Linked DNA regions of Mus musculus. The protein of the gene in region 4 interacts with the protein of the main gene of each other region in a biochemical or structural test. Links are inferred from orthologs where the notes say so. Each region holds a gene or a part of one and is shown on either strand. Other genes may lie near its edges. The genes, in order: Itgb1, Itgb3, Ret and Tln1.

Evidence for each region.
Region 1: the proteins of Tln1 (region 4) and Itgb1 form a complex in vitro, tested with the Homo sapiens proteins (3 studies listed by BioGRID and IntAct, with this or other methods). The link is inferred for Mus musculus from reciprocal best matches to the Homo sapiens genes TLN1 and ITGB1.
Region 2: the proteins of Tln1 (region 4) and Itgb3 form a complex in vitro, tested with the Homo sapiens proteins (6 studies listed by BioGRID and IntAct, with this or other methods). The link is inferred for Mus musculus from reciprocal best matches to the Homo sapiens genes TLN1 and ITGB3.
Region 3: the proteins of Tln1 (region 4) and Ret interact in a surface display test, tested with the Homo sapiens proteins (2 studies listed by BioGRID and IntAct, with this or other methods). The link is inferred for Mus musculus from reciprocal best matches to the Homo sapiens genes TLN1 and RET.

The regions. Positions count from the first base shown.
Region 1 is NC_000074.6:128,682,718-128,690,150, reverse strand, and holds the start of Itgb1 (integrin beta-1 precursor), read right to left. Parts: upstream 4,498-7,433; 5' UTR 4,192-4,497; intron 1-4,191.
Region 2 is NC_000077.6:104,629,605-104,636,566, reverse strand, and holds part of Itgb3 (integrin beta-3 precursor), read right to left. Parts: intron 4,394-6,962; coding exon 4,198-4,393; intron 3,170-4,197; coding exon 2,917-3,169; intron 1-2,916. UniProt on the Homo sapiens protein: Integrin alpha-V/beta-3 (ITGAV:ITGB3) is a receptor for cytotactin, fibronectin, laminin, matrix metalloproteinase-2, osteopontin, osteomodulin, prothrombin, thrombospondin, vitronectin and von Willebrand factor.
Region 3 is NC_000072.6:118,151,406-118,158,367, reverse strand, and holds the end of Ret (proto-oncogene tyrosine-protein kinase receptor Ret isoform c precursor), read left to right. Parts: intron 1-2,932; coding exon 2,933-3,112; 3' UTR 3,113-4,357; coding exon of another isoform or gene 4,358-4,515; 3' UTR 4,516-6,620; downstream 6,621-6,962. UniProt on the Homo sapiens protein: Receptor tyrosine-protein kinase involved in numerous cellular mechanisms including cell proliferation, neuronal navigation, cell migration, and cell differentiation in response to glia cell line-derived growth family factors (GDNF, NRTN, ARTN, PSPN and GDF15).
Region 4 is NC_000070.6:43,558,278-43,565,877, forward strand, and holds the start of Tln1 (talin-1), read right to left. Parts: upstream 4,307-7,600; 5' UTR 3,853-4,306; intron 108-3,852; exon of another isoform or gene 1-107. Other genes in the region: Creb3 (cyclic AMP-responsive element-binding protein 3), read left to right, coding at 4,536-4,682, 4,773-4,929, 5,004-5,074, 5,192-5,281, 6,984-7,090, 7,190-7,258. UniProt on the Homo sapiens protein: High molecular weight cytoskeletal protein concentrated at regions of cell-matrix and cell-cell contacts. Involved in connections of major cytoskeletal structures to the plasma membrane.

The DNA.
Region 1 (7,433 bases), on a different chromosome or scaffold from region 4:
GGGAATGGGTGTGAAAAATAAACTAGTCTTTAATTTAAACATGCTAATTGCTGGAAACCCCCACAAATTCCTACACTCTCTAAAATGGCCGGCAAAGGATCCAAAAGTTCAAAGAAAATGGGAAAGTGAACGACTTTCCCTACTCTCAAGAGCCTTCTCTACTCTACACTCCGGTGCTTTTATTTTGCAGCCTATACTATCAACCAGCATTGATAGATGGAAAATTCCCAAACTCTAGGCCCCATGGTCACCTTAAAGAACTCAGCATGGTAGATCCTACGCTCTTGTAGTAGCACTGCCTCCCTGGGTAAATGCACCACCTGGCCATTCACCTTTCCATTTCCCTCAACATGAACCCCAGGTCACCAATTCCCCTTCCTACACAACATAATTCTTGTTTCCCTACTGGCTACCACTTGGGATCTATAAGCTTTTTGAGTTTCATCTCTATCACTAGAAAAAAAATTGGCCATGCACCCATTATTTATAAATTAAAACATATATTTTATAGCAATGCAATAACATTATACATGATAAATACGTTGAACTTTTAAAAGCTATAAACAGAGAATGCTCTTATAAAATGCTTATACTCAAAAGCCGGGCATGGTGGCACACTTTAATCCCAGCACTCGGGAGGTAGAGGCAGGTGGATTTCTGAGTTCGAGGCCAGCCTGTTCTACAGAGTGAGTTCCAGGACAGCCAGGGCTACACAGAGAAACCCTGTCTCGAAAAAACAAAAAAAAAAAAAAAAAAAATAAGTAGAATAAAATGCTTATACTCCTTACAGACTATTAAGTTATTTTACATAACCCTGGGGTTAGAAACCTGTTATTTTGAAGCCTTGGTAAAATGCTCCTACAAGTAAGAGATATGTATGTATGCATATATATATATATATATATATATATATATATATGCTTGTTTATATAAATTTATATTTGTAATATTTAATATGTACATGCATTTGCGTGCATACAGATATATATGGGCATGTATGTCTGCTCTAATATGATATATATTTGAAGGAGCCTCTTTTCTCACGTATACATTTTATGATGACATATATGCTAGACATACGGGTAAAGATAATTATTCTTATCTTCTAAAGCCACACACCAAAAATAAAGTTTTCAAACTCTGAAAAATTTACAATATACATGCTAGACATATTTGTAAAGATAATTATTCTTATCTTCTGAAAGCCACACACCAAAAATAAAGTTTTCAAACCCTGAGAAATTTACAATATGCATGCTAGACACATTGGTAAAGATAATTATCTTTATCTTCTAAAGCCACACACAGAAAAATAAAGTTTTCAAACTGTGAAAATTAACGAAGTAGTTTATTCTTTATCACACAGCTCCTGAAAGTGAGATACACTGCCCTCACCTATCTACGTCAATTTCTAAGCAGTCAGAATTGTGTGGACTGTCCTTTAACCTCAGTACACTTCTGATTTCTGAGACTGTATACTGCTACTACTTTAGATCTGATCCAGAAGACTCAATTACTATCTTTTCCCCCTTTATCCTCACATTCCTGATTGCCAACTATTTGACATATGATAAACAAAAAAGTCTGAAAACCTATAACCAAAGTCCCAATAAACAGTACTATAATAGAAAACACTAATCAACTCTGAAACTCACTAATTTGCAAACAAATGGTAAAAGCTTATTTTATCATATTCACCCCATAATGAATCTTCAAGTCAGCTGGGCTTATTACACTTCAAAAACTTTTACATTTAAATTCTGAGGAAAAAAAAAACAATCCTCTGAAACTTTTACTAGTGTCAACATGTTTATCTCATCACTCTGGTAACACAGGTAAGAATACTAGTACTCATACACTCACGGAACACTAATAAAATTATTTTCTCCAGACAACAAACTATGATATACACCTCCCTCTCTACATGTAAACCAGGGGGTGGGGCTCTGTTAGAAAAACACCAGAGAGTAAAGGAACTACATTAGGCAGAAAGCATTCTGGACAAACATCCGTCAAGCTAATTAATTTTCCTAGTAATAAAGAGTGAGGAGAGGTGAGCAGTGTTCATGGAGTTAATCAATACAGAACTATATTTTCATTTCATTGATGTTGATTCAGAACAGATTCAAATTAGGCTGACCAGAAAATTAAAGACAACTGATTACTTTTCAACTTTGTTGATTCTGTAATTTTCATGTACAATACTGAAGATTACAAACAACCTGGTGGGAGGGGGTAGGGGAAGACATGCTCTTCCAGAGGACCTGAGTTCTATTGCTAGTGCCCACATACCAGCTGACAGCCACTTGTGGGTACTGTTCCAGGAGATTTGACCCCTCTCTTCTGGCCTCCACTGGAGCGGCATACACACAGGGCAAACTTACAAGCAGGCAAATACGCACCCACATAAAATAAACAAATCAAAGCCTTAAAAAAAGGAAACAACCTCAAACAGTGAGATGGCTCAACACATGAAAATGCTTACCCAAGCTGGGCAACCTGAATTCAATCCCTGAAATCCACATGATAGTGGAAGAAAAGAAGAAACCTCACAAATGTATCCTCTAACCTCCACCTATGCTCGGCATACATTCCCACATGCAAATAATTATAAATTAAAATTAAAGAAACCATCTTAATACTGAACTTCATATCCTCAACAACAGATTCTTCAACTGCAGGCCTGTAAATTCAACAGATAAGCTAGAAACTGCTTTCTACTCACATAAAAACTAGAGTTCTAGTATCTTCTACTCTCCCCAAGTGCCTATATACAACATGCCAGTGTTTCATCCGTTTTCTATTTGTCATTCTATCATTTCTGATCATTAACCATGGTTGAATGAATCAAAATTCCTCATAAACTTGGATATCATATCATATATTAAGATTCTGATGTCAGTCCTTCCCTTCGGGCCTTGATGTCCATCAGTATGCAAGAGGTAACTCTAAACTAAAATTTCTTAGTCCATTCTACAGGTTATCTAGGATATGACCTACTGTAATGGCTGTGTGCGATTTAAAAAAGAAATCTAATCAGAATTCATCTAACATTTATTTCTGTCCTATGCAAGCAACAACCACCATTAAAAAATAAAAACCTTAAGTCATACTATCCTCTTCATACCCAAGTGGAATGGCATATCCAGGAGACTTTCCTAATACTACCAAAACATTCTGAGAAGTTTGTAGATTTTTTTTAACATAGCAAAAGCAATGAAAAGTAATTAATGTATATGAAGCATTGTTGTCTAAGTTGTGGTTTTACATTTCACTACCTACTGTGTCCTTTTCTTTTTTTTCTTTTCTTTTTTTTTCTTTTCTTTTTTTTTTTTTTTTTTTTTTTTTTTGAGGCATTGCCCTGGATTCCTCTTGCCATACATATACATACACACACACACACAAAATGCCTTCTTTATTTTACATTAGTTAGGTTACTTAAAGTTCAAATATAGGCTCTGGAGGTGAGCCCATGAACTCTCCAAATTACTTAAAACTCCTGCACCTCAGTTTCTTCCTTTGTAAAATGAGATAGGCAGTCCCAATACCACCATGGATCAGGATCAGGGTTCTGCAGTGAGGTCAGTACATGCTGGGAGTTTACATGCTGGGAGCTGGGTCTGACCCTCGTGTCACAAGAATTACTATAATTAGTGTAGGAACTCCTTTTCTCTTTTAAAGATGAGGAAACGGAAATAGGATAATTTATTACTAGTTATTACTAGGTTTCAAATTAAAAGTTCAAATTCACTGTGGCATTCGGGATCAGCGCGGTCATTAACCCAGCCTGTCACTAGGAGGCACGAGAAAGGGTAGGCAGCCACACTCCACGAGGCCCCGGGTGGGCACCGCCTCGCGGACCACGGGCGCTGCGGCCTGGTTCCCAGGGTCCCGCGCCGCGCTGGGGAAAGGCGCCCGCTGGGCACCGACGGACCGAACCCCTCTAAGGTCAGCGGCACCCAGATCCCTGTCGTACCCACCCTTGAACCCCGCCACGCCCCGGTGTGACAGACTGGGCTCGCGACCCTCCCTTAGGACAAGGCCGGGCGGGGCGGGGAGCTGCAGCCGAACGAGGCCGAGCGCCGCGGTCCCTAAAACCGGACTCCACCCGGCCCAGGCCGCAGAGACACGCCTGGTTAGCCCGAGTTGCCCGGAGCCCACGCCCGCACGTCCACACGCCCGCGGCCTTACCTTTTCGCAGCGTCCGCCCGACACGCGGGCGGCCCGGGCTCCGCCGCGTTCCGCCTCTCGGAGGGTCTCGGGTCGGTGTCGGCGGACCTCGGCCTTTCGGAGGGTCTCGGGCCGGCGTCGGCGGGCCTCGGCTTCTCGGTTGGTCTCGGGTGGCGTCGGCGGGCCTCGGCCGCTCCGCGGGTCTGGCGGCTCTTCAGCGAGTGGGCGGAGACTCGGCCCGCCTGTCCCTCAGGAAGCCGCCCCGCCCCGCCCCCGCCGCGAAGCTCTTTCTCCCGGGCTGCCCGGCTTTTCTCTCCCTCCGGAAACGCATTCCTCCGCGCCGCGTCAGCCGCGCCTGAAAAGGAGGGGGAGGCGGCAGGAAGAAGGAAGGTGGGGCAGGGTGCAGACAAAGGAGCTCGGTCGTTCGGCCCTTTCTGCCTGGGGTACCGCGCTGAACCACCGAGGGCGCCGGCCGCCCGGCTGGAAAGCCCAGCCGCAGTCTGTGTCCGGTCCCTGGGATCCCGAGCCAGACCTCTCTGTGGGCTGAGGGGACAAGAAGGATCGGGTGTTCTGCAGGCAGCCCTCGGACCCGCCCCGTCACCCTAAGATTGCAGACTCCCGCTCCACCCTTGCTGTGCCACCCTGCGCTCCTTGGCGCCGCATTTGCTCAATTTTCTATCTGGGTGGCCAAGCACAAAAAGGAAAAATGTTATGTTTGCGCACTTGCTTTCTCTTTTCTGGAAAAAGAATTGAAAAGTAGCCAGTCTCAAAATCTAAATGAGAAGCTTGAAACTTGGACTTGCCTCGTCATACTGAAAGCTGTGGGACAGCAGGTGCCATCAGCTTACCCGAAGAGTGTGGGCTGCCAGGAGGAGCAGGGCACCCAGCCGTAAAGACAGCTTTCATTGCCGGGTTTATGAACCCAAGAAATAGTGTTTCTGTTCTGGAAGAGTAAAACTGGGATGCCAAAAAAAAAAAAAAAGATTAATCACTATGGAAAAGTTATATGTTGCCCATGAGCAAATCAAATGTATTGTTTAACTAAAATTTTAATAAATGAGCATCGTTTTTCTAATTAGTAAATGACTGAACTTAAAAGGCTACGTCTGCATCGGCAGCCCAGCGGTAAAGCTCAGTGACGTTCGTTGCCTTTAAAGGTATTGATCTTACCACTTTGAGTTAAACCATTAGCCCAGTCTCTGCACAAGAAACAGCTTTATAAACATACTTTATCAATGCTTGGCCTGAACTGTGTGAGCTTTCATTCGTGTGACTTGAGGAGGGAACAATCTACCACAAGATCGACACACACACACACACACACACACACACACACACAAAATAGTGTTTGTGCTGCTCTCCCAGGACTCAACCTAAGCTGTCAGAGGAATACCAATTTACATGTACAAGTCATAAACTTTGAAGAAAATAGAAATTAATAAGTTCCATAATTGCTCAGAAATGTAGCTATACTTGAATTCATAAAAATGTTAAGAGATGGGCAGTTACTTAGCTATGTAAAATGCATGAACATTGTTCTAATTACTTGTCTCACTACTGGGGCACAATAACTGACAAAGCAACTTAATGAAAGAATTTATTTTAGCTCACAGTTACACGGTACAGTCCATCTCAACAAGAAAGTTGTAGTGGCAGAAGCATGAGGTCCAATTACACCCACAGCCATTTACCCTGTGCCTGGAGGATTGAAGTTCTACCTTGGCAGAAAATATAAGCTGCCTCTTGCTTTTTCAAAATGTAAGCCTTTCTCCACTGTAGCATTTACTGTGCTGTTGGTTATTCTCCCCAGCAATAGCTATTGCAGCTATTTAGTAACAACCCAAGGGTAGAAATAGAATTCTTTCCGTGAAAAAGAGTGAAGTATAGGAAACAATCAAGTAGGGGGCTGGAGAGAGGGCTCAGCAGTTAAGAGCACTGACTGCTCTTCTGAAGGTCCTAAGTTCAAATCCCAGCAACCACATGGTGGTTCACAACCATCCGTAATGAGATCCGATGCCCTCTTCTGGTGTCTGAAAATAGCTACAGTGTACTTACATATAATAATAAATAAATCTTAAAAAAAGAAACAGTCAAGTGGGCCATCAAAAGCCCCTGTCCTACATTTTTTTATCCCAGCACTTGGGAGGACTCAGAGGCAGGAGAATCTCTCAGTTTGAAGCCAGCCTCATCTATAGATCGAGTTGAAGGAAAGGGAGGGAGGGAGGGAGGGAGGGAGGGAGGGAGGGAGGGAGGGAGGGAGGGAGGGAGGGAGGGAAAAATTCCTGTCTTGCCCAGGATCCTTCTTTGTTTGCATTTCTCTTTGTGCTAGAGCATTTTCTTTCAATCGTCAGGATTTCCACTGCCAGCCACAGACTGAGTCTGAGTCCATGAAGGTAAGCAAGTTCAAGCTTGGATACATTTTTCAGCCTGAGTGGGTCTCTCAGCCATGTTTTGTTTCTCCTCAATATCTTTGCTATCTTTCTATCCAGCTCATGTATTACAATGTTTGAGCAGTAGTAGAATTTGGAATGCCAGACAGTTCATATTTGAGGCAGTCAGAGATGAGATGTGCCAGTTTTTCCAAACCACAAGTTTTCTTCCTTGGTAGACTCTAGTCATAAACAATCATTATCTACATTATTCTTGTTCTCCATGTACCAGATAGAAATAATCTTCCTTTAGTCACTATACACACAATCCTCATCTTGGGGTCCATTATTGGTTCTAGCACCAGAATCTCAAATTCAACCATCATGGTAGACTAACCCTCCATCTTGGACCAGGGTATAGGGGAAATGCAAATGTGATCTTGCTTGCAATGTATGCACGGGGTGTTTCCATGTCTTCATCTCTATTAAGAGAAGATGAGGAGCACTCTATTTTCTTGTAAGGAAAACAAATTTTCCACTTGGTCTGTGTATCCAAATTAGCAAAATAAAAATAGGTTCCTGAGTCTGACATGACCTTGGTGGGGATAGAATGACATGGCTCCTGCCCCTGGGACAGGGCAAACAGAGCTGCTGTGGCATAAGGCTTATTTGTATAATAATGTACGTATTTTTATGTCCTTCCTTTGAGGAATGACTCCATGATATTCAGAGACAGCAGTAGTCTGGGAGGTGAAGGTGTGGTTAATGTCTTAGCAAAATGGTAAATGCTAGGACCTTCGGGACAGCCCTTAAGGCTGTGGGAAAGAACTCTAAAAACATTAGTTTGAAAATATATAATTTCTCAACTATGCAAAAAATAAGAATGCAATATGA
Region 2 (6,962 bases), on a different chromosome or scaffold from region 4:
TCTCTGTGTGTCTCTGTGTGTGTACCTGTATCTGTGTGTCTCTGTGCCTCTGTGTGTGTCTGTGTGTGTGTGTCTGTGTGAGTGTGTCTGTGAATCTCTGTGTCTGTCTCTGTGTGTGTGCATACACAAGTGCATGTTGGTGCTAAGGATTGAACCCAAAGTCTCATGCATACCAGATAAACGCTCTACCACACAGCTCACTCAGATGCCTCACGGAATCACAACTACTGAGACAATCTAGACTCCAAAGCCCTTCAAGCTACCTGTGGCATCATAACCATACCCCCAGATAGCCAAAAGGGCAAGAAAGGAAGCCATTAAGCCAGACAGGAAGATTAAACTCTGGATCCCCATTTACCAAGCATGGGCTCTCCGTTAGACTCTCTGAACCTGTATTCCATCAAGGGTTTGGTCACAGCAACAAGATATGCAATTAATACATAAGCTAATCGAAGTCAGAGCTGGAGGTGTAGCCCAGTGGCAGGATCTATAGTGAGCCATCATAGTGCTTCTCCCCTGAGAGCTGTCGTGGGACCAAATAAAGCGGTTCTACAAGAGTTGGGCTCAAGCTATCATGGCTGTTATCATTAACACTGTTTTACTGCAACAATCAAGCAGATAGCCAGTAAATTTACAGATCATGCTCTGCTCTCCCCGACTAACTGATGTCTTTTCTGGGGGAACATGGAGCCCAGGCAGAAGTTTAGAACTGTCCCACAGAATTTTTTTATAAAGTTAAGAAGTAAAGTTATGCTTTGTCAGCCTAGAAATCATCATTTTAATATACTTTATTTTTAATTGTGGAGGGGAGAGAAAAAAGAGAGCAGAGACAGAGAGAGTGGGTGTATGCAGGTGCCCACGGAGGCCAGAAGGCAGCATTAGATCCCCTAGAGTTGGAGCTAGAGGCTTGGCTCAAGAACTGTCTGACCAGCTGGGCAGTGGTGATGCACGCCTTTAATCCCAGCACTTGGTAGGCAGAGGCAGGTGGATTTCTGAGTTCGAGGCCAGCCTGGTCTACAGAGTGAGTTCCAGGATCAGCCAGGGCTACACGGAGAAACCCTGTCTCAAAAACAAACAAACAAACAAACAAACAACAACAACAACAAAGAACCGTCTGACCTGGGTACTGGAACTGGACTCTGTTGGATCCTCTGGAAGAATGGGAGGCATCCTTAACCACTGTGCCATCTCTCCAGCAGTAGTAATCATAGTTTTAAATCACTACTGTACATAGATTTACAGTCTTTGTCAAGTAAACCATTCACTAGTAAACTGCTATGGTTTGAATGTGAGATGGATGCCACAGGCTCACGCGTCTGGACACTTGGTCCCCAGGGGCGGCACAGTTTGAGGGAGGCTATAAAACCTTTAGCACAGATCCTCGCTGGCATACATAGGGTTATATGTGCAAGGATGGATTGTTCCAGGTCAGCTCTCTGTTCAGCCCTGGTGGTGTGTAGCAAGCAGCTGCCACAGGTTCCTGCCACCACAGACCAAGCCACTTTACACACTCCATGCCTTACCTGTCATGATAGAATACAGACTCGGAGACGTGAGCCAATATATACCTTTCCTCTCTTAAGTTGCTTCTACCAAGTGTTTGATCATAGCAGCAGGGAAAGTAACTAAACATAAGCCAACAGAGGCCCAGGGCTGGAGGCGCAGTTCAGAGGTAGAGCACTCGCCCAGCAAACATAAGACCCTATGTACAATTCCTAGAGCTCCTTTGACCCCAGAACCTCCTGGGGACCAAGTGTTCAGACGTGTGAGCCTGTGGGGCCCACTTCACATTCAACCCATTGCAGTTTACTATTGAATGGCTTACTTGTTGAAGAGTGTAAATCTATGTAGAGTAGTGATCTAAAACTATCATTACTAGGGCTGGAGAGATGGCCCAGTGGGTTGGCTTCTGTCTGTAAACAGCACGTGGGAGGGTGAGGCCAGCCTAGGCTACAGAGCAAAATTCTCTGTCTGTCTCAAAAAAAAAAAAAAAAAAAAAAAAGAGGTGAGGGGCTAGAGAGATGGATGGATGGGTGATCTTCCAGGGGACCTAGGACCCAGGTTAAATTTCAGCAACCACCTGGTGGCTCACAGCCATCTATAACTCCAGTTCCAGGGCATTCAATACCTTCTTCTGGCCTCTGGCAGCACCAGGCACACACATGGTACACAAGCAAGCATGCAGGCAACACTGATACACATAAAACAATAAATTTTCTAAAAAATGTATTTCTATAAAGGAGGTGGATAAAGAGAATGTAGCCATTTATATACTGTTAAAGAGTTCAATAAAGTGATTTAATTTTCTTGCACTCTAACTTTGTATAATTTGTGCCCTTGGTGACTATAATAGGGACCACAGAACTAATTCCTCTGGAATCACAATTACATTCTTATTCTTCTAGACTTCTCTCTGCTTTTGAGCTTGCCCCTCCCCCTCACATCTGCTCATTTGTGACAAAGCCGAAAAGCTGGTGGCACTTCTGTAGAAGACCCCTGGCAGCTATGAGCCCTATTGACACAATACTCCAGATAGTAGGCCCATCTCCCAGGCAGGGAACAAGTTGCAAATGCTATGGCTCTTGCATAAAGCAGTCAACAAAATGACCTGAAAGATGCTAGAGAGGTGGCTCAATGGTAAAAGCACTTGATGCTCTTCCCAGAAGAACAACAGAATTTGGTTCCCATCTCACATCCACCTGCAACCCCTGTCCCAAGGGATCTGACACCCTCTTCTGGCCTCCACGGTCACCTGGCACACATGCATGCGAACAGGCCCAAACACACGCATAGAAATAGAAATTAAAAACATAAACTTGTAAAGGAAAATCCTGGAGCTAAAACTGGGAGCCAGGACTTGGACCAGCCTTTGATCAAGGGGGAGGTGTTTCACTGGCTTGTGGAGAAAGTCCTTACTTGTAACAGGGGTTTTTGATTGCCTGTGGTGGGGAGATGTACATGTACGGCGATACAGGCTTGTCCACGAAGGCCCCAAAGCCAATCCGAAGGTTGCTAGTAAGCTTGCGCATCTGAGAGGCCAACTTGGTACCCAGGGTCTGGATGCTGGACAGATCATCCTTCATGGAGAAAGACAGGTCCATCAAGTAGTAGATGTCCACGGGGTAATCCTCCACCTGCCGCACTTGAAGTGAGAAGATCTTCGAATCATCTGGAAGGCAGAAGGGTGTTAGGGTTTTTTTCCTGCCTCCTCTTCTTCTAGGATCAAATACACGAGCAGGCCTCCATGGAGGGTTAATAACTGCTTGATCAAATTATGCTTGAAAGTGTTGGTGGCCTCCCCTCTCCCCACCACATACACACACACACACACACACACACACACACACACACACACACACACACACTCCACACCTCCTGCCCTCTTGCAGCATCTTGAACCTCTTCTTTTCCACTCTATGATTTCCCACCATCTCTAAATCCCCATGTGTGGGACCCTCTGGGTCCCCAGGGTCTATACTCTAAGTCATACAACTGTCAGTTGCTTCAGTTCAGACGCTGTAAAGCACAGGCACTATGCTGGATATAGTGGTGCGTGCCTGTCATCCCAGCATGCACGAGTCAGAAGCAGAGAGACTACTGCAAAGTCAAGGCTAGCCTAGGCTACATATGAGTTCCTGACTGACCAGAGGTAATGTCTCTAAAGTAAATAGCACCGTGTTCTCTCCACATCCCAAAGGACTCTTTGCATAGAGTGGATCTCTCTCAAGCTCTTATTGATTCAGTCAAGTCAAGTCTAGATACTCCAAAAAGCTCCCCTTAGCCTAATAGCATTCCCTTTTCTGTCCCTACTTTGCCTGCTCCCACACAGTTCCTGTGCCCTGAGGGAAAGAGGCTTACAACTTCCTTTCTCATCCTTCTGCTTATCTGGTCCTCCATCAGAGCTATCAACTAGATAGCACACATCAGGGGGAAGCAGAGCCACAAGGAGCAGTGTTGTAGGGTGGGGGTTCATACTCAGATTTTCTGACTGCAATCCTGACCCCTTTCATTGTCTTCCATTCTCCTGCCCACACACCCCCACTCCCCATCCCCTTCTCTTTCCACCCCAGTCCTATCCTGTGCTGCCCCTCCCGGGAGGAGTTCCCGCTCAGACCTTCAACAGTTGATGTCCTGTGCCCACTGGTTTCAGGTCTCTCCCCAAGATGATCCCACACCCACACCGACACCCACGCTCACCTGGCCGTAGTCGAAGGGCAATCCTCTGAGGGCTGACTTGAGTGATCTGGGCGCTGCTTCCAGAGCCCTTGCTGCTGAGTGGCCTAGCCTCCAGGATCTGGGCCTCACTGACTGGGAACTCAATAGACTCTGGAGCACAATTGTCCTTCAGCAGGTTCTCCTTCAGGTTACATCGGGGTGAGCCCTGAGACAAAGTCTATGAAGAGAAGAGCCCGAGGGAAAGGTCAACATCAGAGCTAGGGCGGCTGTGCCTCCTGCCTGGTAAGTCACCTCCCCCTGGCCAAGAGCTTCTCTGGCTCTTTGGAGCTAATCTAGCATAAAAGAATTGTCATGGTCCTTCCATGGTTAATCCTCAGGGGCACGCACAGGAAGGGAGAATAGACTGACTTAGTGTCTGTTCATGGATTGACAACAGAGAAGAGGGACCATTAAGTAAGAAGCCTGCTAAACAAGTATTTTCCAAATTGTAAAATATGATTACTTTGTGAGTCTCAAAATCAAGTTTACTAAGTAAAACATAATTAAATAGAATAGAAAATATCCAAGTATATAAATAAAAGTTTCATTATTTGGGGAATCTTTTATTTACTGGAAGATGGCACCTATAATGAGTAATAGTCCATGAGGTATTTCTTTCTGTGGGTCAAGGTTAAAACCATTTATCAATGCTGTGTTACATGCTGCCTGTTTTATAAGGTCCATGATTGTGTGTTTCCTGCCTCCCTTCTTTATCCAAGACAAAGATGACAGAGCAGATATGGTGGAGGGTAAAGAATAAGAGCCCAAGAATGAGCTGGCTGAGACTGGCTGAGACTGACACCCCCACCCCCTCCAGGCATTGTCACCACTGACTGGGTACCAGAGCATGACACACAGCTCACTTCCTTCAGCTGTATCATGAAGGGGAAAAGTCACCCTTGGCTACAGACAGCAATCAAAACCATAGAGACGCAAAGGGAGATTGTGGCTGCCAGGGGCTGAGGAAAAGGAGGAGGAGGAGGAAGAGTTGTTTAATGAGCCCAAAGCTCTAATTTTGCATAATGAAATTCAGTTATGGGGACAGATGACAGTGAGGGCTTCACATTATACATAGACAACGCCACTCACCTGGACACTTAAGGTGGTTACGGTGGAAAGGAATGGGTAGGAAGGGGCTGGGGAGATGTCCAGTCAGGAAAGTGTTTGCAGCACAAGAATGAAACCTGAGCTCAATCCCCAGCACCCGTGTTAAACACACACACACACACACACACACACACACACACACACACACACACTCACACTCACACACACACACACACACACTCACACACACACACACTCACACACAAAGAGAGACCTGGGTATGGTGACACATGCCTGCAAACCCAGAGCTAGGGAGGCAGAGGCAGGAGGAGCCCTGGGACTTGCTGACCAGCGACGTTAGCCATCTTGATGAGCTCCAGGTTCAGTGAGAGACCCTGAGTCTCAAGAAATAAGGTAGAGAGAAAGGAAGACACACAAAATAGATCTCCACACATACACACAACCACACGCACACAGAAAGGTCAAGATGGTAAGTTCTGTTATATGTATTCTACCACAATAAAAAAAAAAATACTTTAGAAGGAATTAGCTATTTAATAAGAAGAACCTCTCATCGTAGGAATGCCATGCCAGGCTAAATAACACCAGGCAAGCAGAAGGCACTCAGCAGGAGTCAGCTGTCAGCATGCTCCGTTGAGTAGTTCCTGAATAATCTACCTAGGAATAAACTCCACAAGCTGAGGAAAAGTGCCAGAGGACAGGTGCTGGCAGCTCTCTCAGCTTCCTCCTTCACACTGGACAAAAAAAAAAAAACCACACTGACACGTATGTATCACCTCAGCCTCAGGGTCTGGGTCTGTGTGTCACATGCAAGAATGAAATGTTCTTGGAAGGACACTGAAATCAGGAAACAGGCCTCAGATCTAGGTCATCACTAGCTAGCCACGTGACACCACAGAAGTCACTCTGAGCCTTAGTTTCCTGATTTGTTTGATAAGTGGGGTTAACAACAGGATGTTTTCAGTTCCATCGTACCCTGACACTAGGCATATTTAACCAGCACTGCGTGAGCTCATGTCCAGCCGTCACATGCCAGGTTGGGGGACTGACCTGAAAGCTGGCACACCCCTACCTGCCCCTGTTTCTAGGTCTTCAGACTCTCCTAACTACCACCATTCAAAAGCCATCATCAATATGTATATGCATATATTCAAGAACAACTATTAACATTTACTGAGCCCTCACTGCATACAGCATGGGACAAGCACTTCAGGAAAGTCACTGCAATGCTCACAGCTTGGTAATGCTGGAATTACTACTTATCATTTCACAGGTGAAGAACCTCTAGGGAGGGTCTTCACAAATGAGGAACTCAACTTTCTAGTTAAGAATGGGAGGAAGGGTGCCCGGAGGAGCCACAGCAGAGAATGCCCCAGGCATTCAGAGACTGGGATGCAAGATAAGGCTGTGAGAAGATCGGGAAAGATGGGTAAGTCCTTCCTGTTCAGTTGTGCATAACCTGGCCACCAGGACACCTGCAGAGAGATCAGTCACAAAGGCCTGTGTGTGTAGTGATACAGTGCAGCACTCACACCTCATCCTCACCCATACACACTACACACATACATACACTCTCCACACACATACACTCTCACTACACACATACACACTCACTACACACTACACACACATACATACTCACTACACACACATACACACTCACTACACACTACACATAC
Region 3 (6,962 bases), on a different chromosome or scaffold from region 4:
AAGGGATATTTCATTGCGCAAATGTACATTTTCTTTACCCATTCATCTATTGAGGGGCATCTGGGTTGTTTACAGTGTCTGGCTTTTATGAATAGAGCAGCAGTGAACATGGTTGAGCAAGTGTCTCTGGTAGGACAGAGCATCCTTTGAGTATATGCCGAAGTGTGGTTTAGCTGGGTCTTGAGGTAGATGAGTTCCCATCTTCCTGAGGAGCTGCCACCCTGGTTTCCCTAGTGTCCATACAGTTTTGTTTTCCCAGCAGTGATGGATGAGGGTTCCCCTTTGTCCATATCCTCACCAGCGACCTGCCATTTGAATTTCATCTTTTGAAATTGCTCTGTTTAGATCTATACCCCTCCTTAATTGGGAATGTGTTTTTTACTATCCAGGATTTTTTAGGTACTTAATTGGCTCTCTATCAGATGTGTAGTGGGGAAACCTTTTCCTTTTGTAGTCTGCTGCTCTGTCTGATGCTGTCCTTGTCTGGGCAGAACCTTCTCAGTTTTATCCCCTTTATCAATTGTTGATATTAGTGTCTGTGCTAATGATGTTCTGTTGAGGAAATAGTTTCCAAGTTAACTCAGAAGGAGAGAGAGAAAATATCCAAATTAACAAAATCTGAGATGAAAAGGGGGAACATAATAACAACAAACACTGAGGAAATTTAGAGAATCCTAAGAACATGCTTTAAAAGCCTCTTTTAAGTTTCCAACTTTAAAATAAATGGATACTTTTCTCAAAAAATTAAATCCACATCTGATACACAATTGAAACAGACCTGTAAACTCGAGTGAAGTAGAAGCAGTCATTAAAAGTCTTCCAACCCCTCCCCCAAAAAGAAACCCCAGGCCAGTTGATTTTAGCACATAATTCTAGCAAACTTTCAAAGATTTAATGCCAATACTCTTCAAATTATTCTACAAAATATAAGCAGAATGAACATTATCCAATTTATTTTAATGAGGCCACAATTACTCTGATACCTAACGTACATAAAGACCCAACAGAGAAAGAAAACTTCAGACCAATTTCCCTTATGAGCATAGGTGCAAAGTTTTTCAATAAAATGCTTGCAAACTAAATCCAAGAACACATCAAAAAGAATATCCACAGTGATAAGTAAGTTTCATCCCAGAAATCCAGGGATAGTTCCAACATGGGTAAATGGGTAAATGTAATGTACCATTTAGACAAACCTAAAGGCAAAAACCACATGAACATCTCATTAGATGTAGAAAAGGCCTTTGACAAAATTCCAATACTTCTTAATGATAAAAGTCCTGAAGAGATTAGAGATATACGGGACATACCTTGACACAGAGTAAAGGCAATTTTACAGCAAGCCAAAAACAACTTAAATAGAAACAGGATGCATTTTCACTAAATCAGGAGCAAGACAAGGTTATCAACTACCTATTCAGTACAGCACTTGAAGTCTTAGCTAGAGCAATAAGACAACTGAAGGAGAAAAGAAGGATACAGGTGGGAAAGGAAGAAGTCAATGTATCTATTTGCAAATGATATAATACTAAACATAAGTGACCCAAAAAAGTTGGACCAGAAAACTCTTTACATCTGATAAACACTTTCAGCAAAGTAGTTTGATACAAAATTAACTTTAAAAAGTCAGTAGCTCTTTTATATACAAATAACAAATGGGCTAAGAAAGAAATCAGGGACACACTTTTCACAACAGCCTAAATAATATAAAATATCTCAGGATAACTTCAGCAAAGCAGGTACACGATGTAAACTTTAAGACATTGAAGAAAAAAATCTGAAGAAGATATCAGAAAATGGAAATATCTCCATGCTCATGGATTGGTAGTATGAATAGTGTGAAAATGGCCATCCTGCTAAAAGATTGAATCTACCATTCCGTCTCTATCAAAATAACTGCACGGCTCTTCACAGATCTTGAAAGGACAATTTTTAATCTCATATGGAAACACACACACACAAAAAAAATCCAAGATAGTTAAAACAATCCTGATCAATAGAAGAACTATGGGACATATCACAATCCCTTATTTCAAGTTATATTACAAAGCTAAGTTAAAAAAAAAAAAACAGTATGGTGTTGACACAGAAATAGGCATGTTGATCAGTGGAATCAAATTGAAGACCCAGACCTATAGACCCCTGTTTTTTGATAAAGAACCCAGAAATACACTGGGAAAAGACAACACCTTCAACAAATAGTGCTAGTCAAACTGGATGACTGCCTGAAGGAGAATAGATCCACATTTATCACCCTGCACAAAACTCGGCTCCAAAAGCATCAAAGAACTCAAAATAAAATGGATACATAAAATGGATATACTGAATCTGATAAAGAAAGTGAACAACCTCAAATACATTGACACAGTTTTGTTGTTTTTTGAGAAAATCTTCCAAGATTTGTGGGTTCAAGGTTGTCTTGAGCAGAAGTAACAATAGATGCCAAAATCGCGGTGTTGAGAAACAGCCAACCCAACACTGGAATCGTCTACATAGTTAAGTGGTACAATATTAAGTGGCAAGCATCTTGCGTTTGTTGTACATGGGAGCTGAGGTCCCTGCATCTGTATCTGTTCCCTGTAACAGAAGAGGTCCTGGGAGGGAAACTGAAAAGCATCCATTGGGTTAAACCTACCACTTGGCACACTATGTTTCTACAGGAATACTGTGACCAGGAGTGCTTTCAGGCCAGGACTATACAGAGAAGCCATTTCCCCAGCCCTCTGCTCTTGGTTGGATTAAGGAACCTCAGTGCCTTACCTCAGTGTTACCCTCCAGGATGGAGGCTGTGGTCTTAACAGAGAGGCCAAGAAACAGTACAGGATAGGGGTACAACCAGCACCTCTGCCCCATGTGCATTAAGGGTCCCTGGGTATGTTTAGGAATGGCCCAGGGTCAAGGATAACTGGCCATCTCTTTCTCTCTCTTCCAGGACTACTTGGACCTGGCTGCATCCACACCTTCGGACTCACTGCTGTATGACGATGGGCTCTCAGAAGAGGAGACACCCCTGGTGGACTGTAACAATGCTCCCCTCCCGCGCTCCCTCCCTTCCACATGGATTGAAAACAAACTCTATGGTAGAATTTCACATGCATTTACTAGATTCTAGCAACGCTGTCCTCTCTGCACCATCCCAACTCTCTGTAACGCTTTTTAAAGAGTGTTTCTGATCCCACCGACACCAAAGCCTCCTCCGAACCCTTTTCTTTGTAAATATCTGACTTTGCATCTAGTTTACATACATTCAGGCATTTTGCAGCTATGTCTTTCTAAAAGGATGTGAAAATAAGTGTCATTACCACACAGCCCAGCAACTTACGATGACACAGGAGAAGCGGATTAGAGCAGAATTCTCAGGGCCCATTGGGAAGCAAATCATAGTACTGGTGACTTCGATATTTAAATTTACCTGATCTGGGGAGGGAGTCAGTTTTGCCAGGGAAAGCTGGCATCCCCAGCTATGCTATCGTTGCAAGCTGGGCTACCCCCAGGCTGCTCCTGGGCTGGTGTGTGCCTCGCGGAAGCCGACCATAATCCCACTTCCAGCTATGTGTCCACAGCCGTGCAGTGTGGGGCAGCGGGAAAACCATGTGGGCCCTGGGCAGACACCAGACTGCTGCTTTCACATCCTTTGCACCCTACCCCCATCATGATGTTGTCACTCACGAAGCCAGTGCTAAATACTGAGCCAATGCTTTCTGAAAGAACATAGTCTGTGGTGCTGTGGCCTTGCAATGGACAGTAAATACGGCTCTTGCCAAAACTCCTTCTTTGTCTTGGATTAAATACTTGAAATTTTTTTTCTGCTTCCTAATCTCCTCATTGATGCTTTTTGAAGTCTTGCAGTTTCAAGCTAAGGTAGGTTCTTTCCTGCATGCTTCCTGAGTCACAGGTCCTCACTACCTGCCTTGTGCCTACAGTGCTGCGGGGGCAGCCTGTGTGTGCCCCCTGTGGGAAAGGAAGTCTTCCTCCTCCGTGTTAGCAGGGATGACAGGTGAACAGCCCCTAGAGGGTTCCCACTACAGGAAGCCATATAGTCCAGCCATTCGCTGATGCTTTACACTGTCCTGGGAAAACAGTTGAGCATTTCACCAGATCTGTTTCAGATTTGAGACTCTAAACTCATAGGCTTTGAGATTTGGTAGCCTCTGCTAAATTACCTGTACCAGGAGCATGTAAGGTTGCCCCATGTAGAACAGTGTTTTGGAAACCTGGGATGCAAAACCATTAATGGAATTGGCACGGAAAGCGCAAGTTGGTTTAACCATCAAAGGGAGTTTTGCCAAGGCCTTACTGTCTGCACATGAAGTTTGAGTTCTTCAGTGCAGAACAAATTATCTGTTTTCATTTTTAGGCATGTCAGACCCGAACTGGCCTGGAGAGAGTCCTGTACCACTCACGAGAGCCGATGGCACTAGCACTGGGTTCCCAAGATATGCAAATGATAGTGTATATGCTAACTGGATGGTTTCACCCTCAGCGGCAAAATTAATGGACACATTTGATAGCTAACATTCCTTTGTGAACGGTAATGGACTCCCAAGGGGGAAGAAACATGCCAAGAGCATCAAGTCCACCGGCCCCTTTGTGCACATCATACTGGCCAAGACCAGCCTTAGGTGGCAGACTTGTTTTCTGTAGTTTGTTTTAGCTGGTTTCCAAATGGTTTTACTTCAAATAGCTGGTGGTCCTCCCTCCTGGTGGTCTGCCCTCCTAGCACACCTGCCCCATTGGGTGGGTGCTCTGAGTCTCTGGTTAGATCCCCTTTCCCTTTAGCATTGGGTAGCACCTCTGTTGGTCTGCTCATCACTAGCCACCACGAGCTCTGTGTCCACATGTGTGGGGTCTGCCATTCATGACTTGGATGAGAAATTGTACCTGAACTGTCTGATTTTCCTGGCTGATAAAAAACCTACCACGTCCCCCCAAAAATGTTTTAACATGAAGCACACATACAAACAACATTGATTGAAAAACCTGGCCAGAACGACCTGTCCTTGTCTAGAATGAAAGCCTAGCATAGGACTGGGTAGTTGCATCCACCCGGGTCCACTAGGGCTGGAGGGGAGAAGGGAGCCTCCGGGCTGTCCTCGGCTCAATATATGACATCCTGAATATAGATTTTTGGGTTTTTTAGCCATGTAGCCTTTTCTTAGGAAAATGTTTTGTTTCTGTCATGGTTAAATGGCTCTTAGAATTAGCACAATGGAGAGATTTGGTGTTGCCTTTGCTATATACAAGGCAACTGGAAAGAAGTGACCCCACATGACCTAGTCCCCCTGTTGAGCCCTCGGCAACATTCACGCTGCGTGACTCCGACTCACTGACCAGAACAGGGTGAAGAAGCGGGGCATTTGGAGTAGAGTTGCCTTCAGGTCCAGTATTGCTGTCATCAGAGGCCTTGAGCCACAAATTCTGCACCCCCAGCAAGCCAGTCTGCAGTACACCCTACCCACCAAAGAGTGTGCCCACCCTCTGCTTGGGGACAGGTGGGTCTGTCTTGTTTTAATCCCTGGCTTGCCAGCTCATGCCCAAAGGGAAGGACAGTTCATCTAGTTGCATTAGATGTTTCCCTGACACTGACTGAGGTGAGAGAACAAGGTTTTGGCTCTTATAGAGCTTGTGTGAAAGGCACATGGGTCAGCTCTTCCGGCCGTCCTTTATGCTGCTATGGTACGTGTTTTGGTCTCTGTTCTAACCACGACTCACGTGTAAGGTTCTTGTCTTTCTATATGGGCAGTTGTAGCCACAGACACTCAGCACTCCTCTAGGGCTTTAGGGGTGGCTCTTGGAAGTTTCTTTGGCTGTCTGTGGACTGTCACTTCCCATGAAAAGGTCACATTACCAAAACACTGCCTGGTCTTCAGACTTGAAGCACTGTGATAGGACTTTAAATAGTCATAATAAAATACTATATCTTTATGGGCATTTCACAAACACAGTAAAATTGTGACATTTTATGTGGCTGAGAATGCTCAGATAAGTATACCAGATAGAGCCTTATGGAGTGTGTGTGATATTTGTGTGCACACATAGCCAGACAGACAGGAAGATGAAAAATGCTTATTTTAACATATAATATGGCTTTAGTTTTGGGCCATTTTTTTTTCAGATACACTGTGATAAGGTTTTTTATATAAATATCTCTAGTCATGGGACCCATTTTGTTTTTTCAGATGTGTTTAATGGTAGTTTTATTAAGTGCAAAAATACGGATGAATTCAAATTATTCAACATGCCTACACGGTAAGTGTGACTTGCTAGGGCAAGTTAGCTCTCAAGGGCTGAGCTCCAAGTCTAAATAGCTGGCCCATTTGTGAGGAATTAACACTTGACTAATAACCATTGTCTGTCTGTTCCTGAGATATAAAAGCACCCATACTTGTTAAAGTACCTATACTTGTTAGCACTATCAGACAGATTTTTCATCTACATATATGCAGAAGTTACCCCTTATTAAATATTACTGAGTATTAAGTAGCTATCTGTCAGCCACTAAATTTGTAAGATCTATTTAAGAAAGGCCATTAAACCATACCGTGTTGACTTGTTTTTGTAATCAAGGTGACTAAGGAAATAATTTCAGTTGTGTAAATAAAATAAATCATAAAATGTGTCAACTTTTTCTCTCGTTTTAACTTCCTGGTGCAAAAAACCTCAGCTTGCTCATTTCAAAGTTTCTACACATAACTAAAATGTCACAGCGAATCTGTTGTAATTGTGGGAGAGCAATAATGACGAGGGAGCAATGGCTCTTGGTGGTGTCACTGGTGGGTGTCTTGTACAACAACATTCAAGTGATAAGTCAACTAACCCTGTGACTCTAGGATTTCCTCCCTGCAATTGGAGACATCCCCCTTGCAGGTGACCTTCCTTAGAACAAATAGTGGCCAGTGTCGATATCCACTGGTCTCTGGAACTCTTAGCTGTTAATTTCCTGAAACATCAGTAATCTCTCA
Region 4 (7,600 bases):
GAGTAGCTATCTACACAATTAATTGAGAGTGAAGGAACTGGACACTGAGTCGGGACTAGCAGTGGCAAAGAACAAGAGCCCAGGAACTAGGAGCAGAAGCTACCTGCTTCGTGTCTTGCTCTGAGAACTCTGTCCCCTTTTATCAGGCTTTATGAAGAGCAACAACACCCACTCCATGTCCCCTTCCCAGAGAACTCCTCCTCCCTCAATACATTCCTGAGATGCATTCCAAAGGCCTTGGGCAATTGGAGGGGGGGTGTGGAGGACAGGAGGTCAAATCCCAGCAAGGAATGGAATGCAAGTATACTAGGGCTAAGGAATTTTGGGGTACATGGAGAATATCATCAGTGCAGGTACCTACAGGGGCGAACTACAGAGACAGGGAGTTAAAAGGGACAAAGGGAGAAAGAAAGCTGAAGACAGAGTCAGAATGTAAGAGGGTTGGGGGAATAACATGCAGTCTGTTACCAAATTTGGCCTCTGAGTCCTCAACCGCTGGGAGGGGGAGGGGCTTGTGGGTGAGACTGACATATCCGGCCTTGGGCTGCTGGAAGCTCCTTTCAGGCTGGACCGGGCAGCTGAGAGGCTGGATCTGACCTCCTCCAGCACAAGGTCTGTCTTCACAGTCATACATGTATTCTCACTCTTCACCAAGGCCCCTTAGCTTACACACAGGACTCCCTCCCGCCAAACTGCCTGTGCTGTTGCTATACGGATCTATCTGTTGTAGGCAGCACGTGTGCACACAGCTTCCCCACAGTGCACCAGCCCCAGTGCCGGCTCCCAGCCTCTCTCCTTCACTGTATGCTTTTCCCTCCATGCATTCTCTAAGGCCCATGGTGGGAAGGCCAGGAAGCTCGATGAGTAAGACTAGACCTTGCTTTCCGCAGGCTGCCAGCCTCCCAGGGGTGGGGAAAAGCTAAATGCAGAGTTACAACAGAGGCAGGCTGTGGAAGGAGCCAAACGTGTTCACCCAGAAAAGGGAGCCCCGGAGGCTAGGGAAAGGGAGCGAAGGATCCAAGGAAGCTATCATCTGAAGTTAGAATTTTAAAAATATGAAGATAATAAGAAGTTACAGCGACGTGTCATTTATTGACTATATGTTAATTGCATTAGATACATATATAATTTCAGTTAATCCTTACAACAACCCTGCAAGGTAGGTGTTATCATCTCCATTTTTACAGGTTAGGAAGCTGGGGCTCCAGAATGTTAAATACTTTTCCAAAGGACTTGTCCAAATAATAAGCTGTGAAGCCAAAATCCGAACCCAGGTCTCTCTGCCTCCAAAGCCCAAGCTCTCTCCATTAGGTCAGTCGAAGATGAGTCAAAGGTATCGTCCCAGGCACAGAGAATAGCACTAGCAAAGGTTGAGAGGCAGGAGATCTCGGAGGAATGCCCAGGAAAGTGAGGAGGCAAGCTGGCTGGAGCACGGGGCACCTGCAAGGGAGCAGCGGTGGGGACGTCAGGGTTAAGATGGAAAGGCAAAAGCGGAGAGAGCAGTATGAGGAACCTAACTGACTGGAGGGGAACAGGAGGCCAAGGAAGCTTTAAACAGGGACATCCCCAGCACTGGGTTTTCGGGCAACTCTGGGGCCAAGTTAGGAGGAGACTGTATTAGTATAAGCGATAATAAAGCCAGAGTTAAAGCTGTATGGAGAGGAAGTTGCCATTCAGAAGAAAAGTAGAACTGACATACAGGACTCAGAAAACTGAAGCCAAAATCAGCTTCCTATGACCAGTACCCATTTACTGACTAGACAGCTTCAGTTTAATAAACCAGGGAAGGAGAGGGGACTAAGTCAGGATGTGGGAATGACGCTGGGTGGTAAATGATGCGATAGGAAGTATCTGTAGCAGGGGCACAGAGGTGGGGTTACTGACAGTATTAGGCTGTGGCTGGGGATCACAGGGTGTAGAAAAAGAGACCAGGAGCGTGATGGTAGGGAACAGACACATGATGAGCCACTGAGCAGGTGGGGAGGGAAAAGCATGAGTCCATGGATGCTGACTAAACCGGGGATGACAGGGAGGCCGGAGGCCGGGTCAGGAGCTCCAGAAGAGCTAGGGATGTGGTAAGCTGCTAAATTGGGCTAGTGGGGAGAGAGTGAGAGAACACTGACAGCGGCTAGGCAACCCTGGGTTGGAAGGAGAGGCAGCATGGGGAGGGGACAGTGTTGTGGTCACTGGCAGGGTCAAGCTGGGAGTGACATGGGGGTGTGGTCAGTGGCCTGGCTGGGCGTGGGATCAGTAAGACCAAGTTTCCTCTTTGGGTATCATTTCCTCTTTTCTGTCGGGGAGTGGGGGAAGGGGATCCACAACTGGACCTAGAAGTAAAAGGAGGCTCAGAAACCAGGGGGTACACATGGGAAGAGCCCGGTGGCGGGGGGGGGGGGGGTTCAGCAGCTGACCAGGTGGTATGCAAGTATGAGAAAGTGCTCTCCGATGTTGGGAAAGCTCAGGTTTGAGGGACATGAAGTAAAGTAGGATGTGTGGATCAAGAGACAGAGACAGGGGTGTGGGGGTGGGAAATGGTTCAGATGAACAGCAGGAGACGAGCTAAAGACCACGACAGTATCTGTAAGGAACTGTAAAGGTATGCAATGTGGGACCAGGGAGGGCAAAGAGACAGAGAGAAGGCAGTGTGTGGAGAATGAGGGAGGCTCGAGTCAAACTGTCATCATTTAGTCGACAGCGTTCCCTTGGTCAGCTTCCCCTCAGTCACAGGCTTCCTATTCCCCATCCTCACTTAGGACCTTGTCTGACTCCTGGGTCTCTTTCCATTTCCCACCTCCCACCTCGTAAACATCACAGCCCAGAAATCCCTGTCTCCCAGTGGTGGTGGCCTCTGGAAGCCTTGTGCTTAGGCAGTAGACTAGAGAAAGCAGAGTCCTGGCACTTCTAGCTGAGGTCCAGAGCTCTAGCACTTCTTTGGGTAAAAGAGGCCTCTGTAACTGCACAGGAATAAGAGAACTCACTACAAAACAAAGGTAGCTACTTCCTGCCAACTTCTTACATTTTACCAGCTCAGCTGTAGCTGCAGCCTCAACCCCTAACGCTATCACCAATTCCTAACATTAATGCTGACTTTATTTCCTATTTCCCTATACATTGACATTCACCCCTTTCCCAGAAGACACCCATACTAATCTGGCTTTTATTTTTAGGCCCAAATCCCCCAAATTTAACCCTAAATACTCCCTCCCACCCCACCCTGCAGTTCTAAAGCTCATTTGTAACTTGGTTCTTAATTAACCTTTTCACTGTTTATTCTTAATACTGACCATGACACCGGCCTTTAATCCCTAAAACGGGCATCTAAGCCAATTCCTGTTGATCCTTAACCCGATCCTGTACTCTGACTTAATGCTGGTCATTGCAGAAAATAATGACCTCAGTTTAAATGTCACATATGCGAAACAGACTTGACTCGTGCAGCAAATGTTTAGAATGTAGTTCACCTTCTTAACTTCTAAAGGGATCCTTGCTTCCTAAACGCGACGGCACCTAACCCAAACTCACCCCAAGTTTTCCTAACCACTTACTCACTATCGGCTAATACCAAAGCCCATCCCCGCCCAGTGCCTCACTGCCACCCAGTGCCTCACTGCCACCCCATTTCTACCCGTCCCCAAACCTAGCCGAGACAGAGAACTGTCTACCCCCGCGAAAGGGCCTGCTTCTCGCAACAAGGCCAGCTTAATTCCAAATCCAAACCGAAACATACTGGACCCTGACCTCCCTAACCAGACACAGGATATGCAGGAGGATTGGGGGCCCCGCCCGCCGCTTCCCGGGCTGGCCCGATCCCGCAGCCCCACCTAGAAGCTCGGCCCAGCCCGTCCGGCCTACCTGCGCTGCCCGGCTCTGCGCCCCGCCCTGGGCCCGCTACCCGCTCCTTCTCCCGGTCGCTTTTGGGGCTCCGGCCTCGCCCTCCCTTCGACACACTCTCGGCCACTTCCGTCCTGGAAACGTCCCCCACCCGCCGGCGGCGCCCTGGGCCCGCGCTCTATGGTAGCGGAGACTGCAGGAAGCTGCTCTGGCCGTAGTTCTCGATGCTCGGGCGCCCGCGAAGCCTGGCCGCCCCTCCCCAGCAGGAAGCGAGCGTGCAGAGCTCTGGAGAGAACGCCCGAACTAAGCTGGAGTTCCCTTTTAAACGCTTAAGTTTTTTTTTTTAATAGCTCGAGGCGAAGGCGGACAAGGATCCTCAGAATCCCCGCCCTGGGGCGTGGGAAGCTTGAAAGGACGTCCCCATAATTTGCATAGCCCCCGGGACGTGGCGCAGCCCAGGAGCCACTTCCGAGTTGGAGAGAACTCCAAGTCCCAGGATTCCACGGGGCTATGTGCACCACTTCCGTTGTGTTGGAAGCTGAGGAATACAGAAGCTGAGAGACGGGTGCGGTTTAGAGTGACAGCTAGGCCCTTGTCCCGGAGTGACGGAGGTTAAGTCGAGCCGACTGGACAGACTGAGGGGTCGTGCCTGAGGTTCGGAGGTTGGATCTGCGCGGAGGGATTTCTATCCATAGATATCCCAAATGGATCCTGGTGGTCAGGATCTGCTAGCTTTGGATCCCGGTGATCAGGACCTGCTGGGCTTCCTGCTAGAGGAAAGCGGAGATTTGTGGGCTGCGACTGAGCCGGACGTGAAGGCTCCGCTGGACTTAGAGCTGTCACCTTCCGAGGTGGGTGGGTGGGTGTTCCCAGTGGGGGAAGCTAGGGATGTCCGCGAGACCCAAGGTACGGAAATAAATCAAGGCCTTTGAATTTGATAGAACTCCGTGCAAGAACTGAGCGACTGGGAGGTAGAGGATTTACTGAGCTCTCTGCTCAGTCCCTCAGTATCGCGGGATGTTCTCGGCTCTTCCAGCTCTTCCATTCTCCATGATCACAACTACTCCCTTCCACAGGAGCACGTCTCCATAGATCTAGGTGAGTGTGAAATGATAAGTTGTGGGGGAGGAGAGAGCTCACTGGGCTAGCTGGTTCTACTTTCCCTTTTGCAGATACTGAGAGCTTCGAAAAGGAGGGGTTCCACGTGACTCCACTGCCAGGGGAGGAAAGAGCAGCGGAACAGGTGCTGGACTTGATTTTTTTTTTCAGGATTACCTCACTTTGCAGCAGCCAAGATCCCCCATACTGCTCTGAGAGCTCCATGCAACTCTGCTCTCTTCACTATTTCCTCCATCCTTAGGAGATGTCTAGGCTGATACTGACCGAGGAAGAGAAGAAGCTCTTGGAGAAGGAGGGGCTCACTCTGCCCTCAACCCTTCCTCTCACTAAGGTAAGGCTCCTGTTGGTAGAGCAAAGGCTGGAGGGGGTTGGTAACCCAAGTAGGCAAGCTCAGTTTGTTTCATATCAATCACTTGCAAAAGGACAAACCAACTCCTACAAGTTCTCTCATCTCCAAACACACACCCACGTCAAAAGATAATGTTTTAAATGTAACTTTAGTACAGAGCCTTGAAAGTGAAGGGCCTTGATAGCTTCCGTTGTTATCTTGGGACCTCGAATCATACTCAGTGGTAGAAATGCTTGAGAGGCTGACTCAGTCTAACAACATCAACAATCGTCAAAGCTGGACATGATGGTGCACCCCTCTATAACCCTAGCACTCTGGAGGCAGGAGCAGGAAGGTCTTCACAAGTTCAAAGTCACTTCCCACGTGCTGGGATTACAAGAATACTGCATCTAGTTTTTGTGGCAAATTTTTTTAATGTCATTTGCCTTTTTAATATTGTCTTACTTCTGATATGTAGATATTTACTTATTTGGGGCAGGTGGATCAGCATTAACGGACAGACTTAGCTTCATGTTGAGTTCAGGCAAGCTTGGGCTATGTGAGAAACCATCCCCTATCCCTCTATCACTATTACAAGATGAATGAGCAATATATTGGGAGGAAAGGAAACGGAACTTGGAAATTATCAATAGTGGTTCTGTCCCTAGGATAGTAACTGTCTTGTCTTCCTTTACACTGGCCAGAGCATGCCATAATTCCCCTACCCACTGGGATTGGAGTACAGTACCTCATGAATGTTCATCAATGCTCACTGCTGAGCCACGCCCTCTGGCCCTTGTTGTTAAGGCAGGGTCTTGTAAACCCAGGCTGGGCTGGCCTCAAACTATGTAGTAGGGAAAGAATGCCTTTGAATTCCTGATTCTCCTGCTTCTAACTCCCTCGGACTAGATTACAAGTGTATGATGTCACTCTTGGCTAGTGTCCAAGTTTGACAGGCATTATCAGAGAATGTAAGAGTTAACTTTATTCAGTTTTAGTTTCTGAAAGAAAAAAAGTTGAAAGTACCTTAAGATAAGGATATATTCTATATCACTTTAGAGACTCTAGGAAAATCAAATGAATGGAAATTATAAGAAGATTGATGTTGCTTTAGGATAAGGGTAGATGTTGTTGTTGTTAGTTTTGAGACATGGTCTTATGTAGCTCAGTCTGTCCTCAAAAACTACCCTAGCCAAGGATGGTCTTGAAATCCTGACTTCCTTCTTCTGCCTCCCAAGTGCTGATACTACAGGCATGTACAACCACACCTAGCTTAAGTGGAATTTTTAAAATTAATTAGAGACTGGAAAGATGATTCCGTGGTTTAGAGTACTTTCTGCTTTTCCATGGGGCATGAGTTCAAGTCCCAGCTCCCACATGGCAGCTTACAATCCGAGGAGATCTGACACCCTCTTCTAGCCTATGTGGGCACTAGGCACACCCATTATACATATACGTTATACAGACATGCAGGCAAAACACCCAAACACATAAAAAATAATAAAAAGTCTGGCTTTCTAGTGTTGAATATCTGCTCCTTGGTGTTCACACAGAAGGTAAATGCCTACTGACAGAGAGGCTGTGGAGAGTATTTGATTGGGAAGAAGGTTAGCTGTCTTCCAACATACCTATGTAGTATATATAGGTATAACATACAGGCATATAATAACATACTGTGGGTGACCTTTCCCCCATCTTCTCTTAGGTGGAGGAACAAGTTCTGAAACGAGTGCGGAGGAAGATTCGTAACAAGAGAGCAGCTCAAGAAAGCCGCAAGAAGAAGAAGGTGTATGTCGTGGGGCTGGAGAGCAGGTAAGCAAGGATGGACACGGGGGAAGCCTGGAGGGTCTTGAAGGGAGGAGACACAATATTTTGAAATCCACGTGTCCTCACATCCATGTTGTCCTCTAGGGTCTTGAAATACACAGCTCAGAATCGGGAGCTGCAGAACAAGGTGCAGCGTTTGGAGGAACAGAATCTGTAAGCGGCCATTTGAAGACAATCGGTTTTTTAATGCTTTCTCACTCTTTCCACTGTTCCACATGACTTCCAACTGGATAGCTCAAAAATGCAGACATCCGGAAGTTAGCCATGTCTCAAGCGTGATGGAGAATAAACTTATAAGTAGCTAAGGAGCAATTAAGTACCAAGATAGAGAAGTAAGAAAAGACTGCAGGTCGTCAGCGTCATTGCAGTTGCAGCTGTGGGGATGGGACTGGGAGGAGAGAAGGCTGCATTGTGCTTGGCTGGCTCTAGCTCTGGGGTTGGGTAGAGAGCACAGGGCTTGGTGGGGAAGCACAAGCTTAGTTGATCAGGTACTGC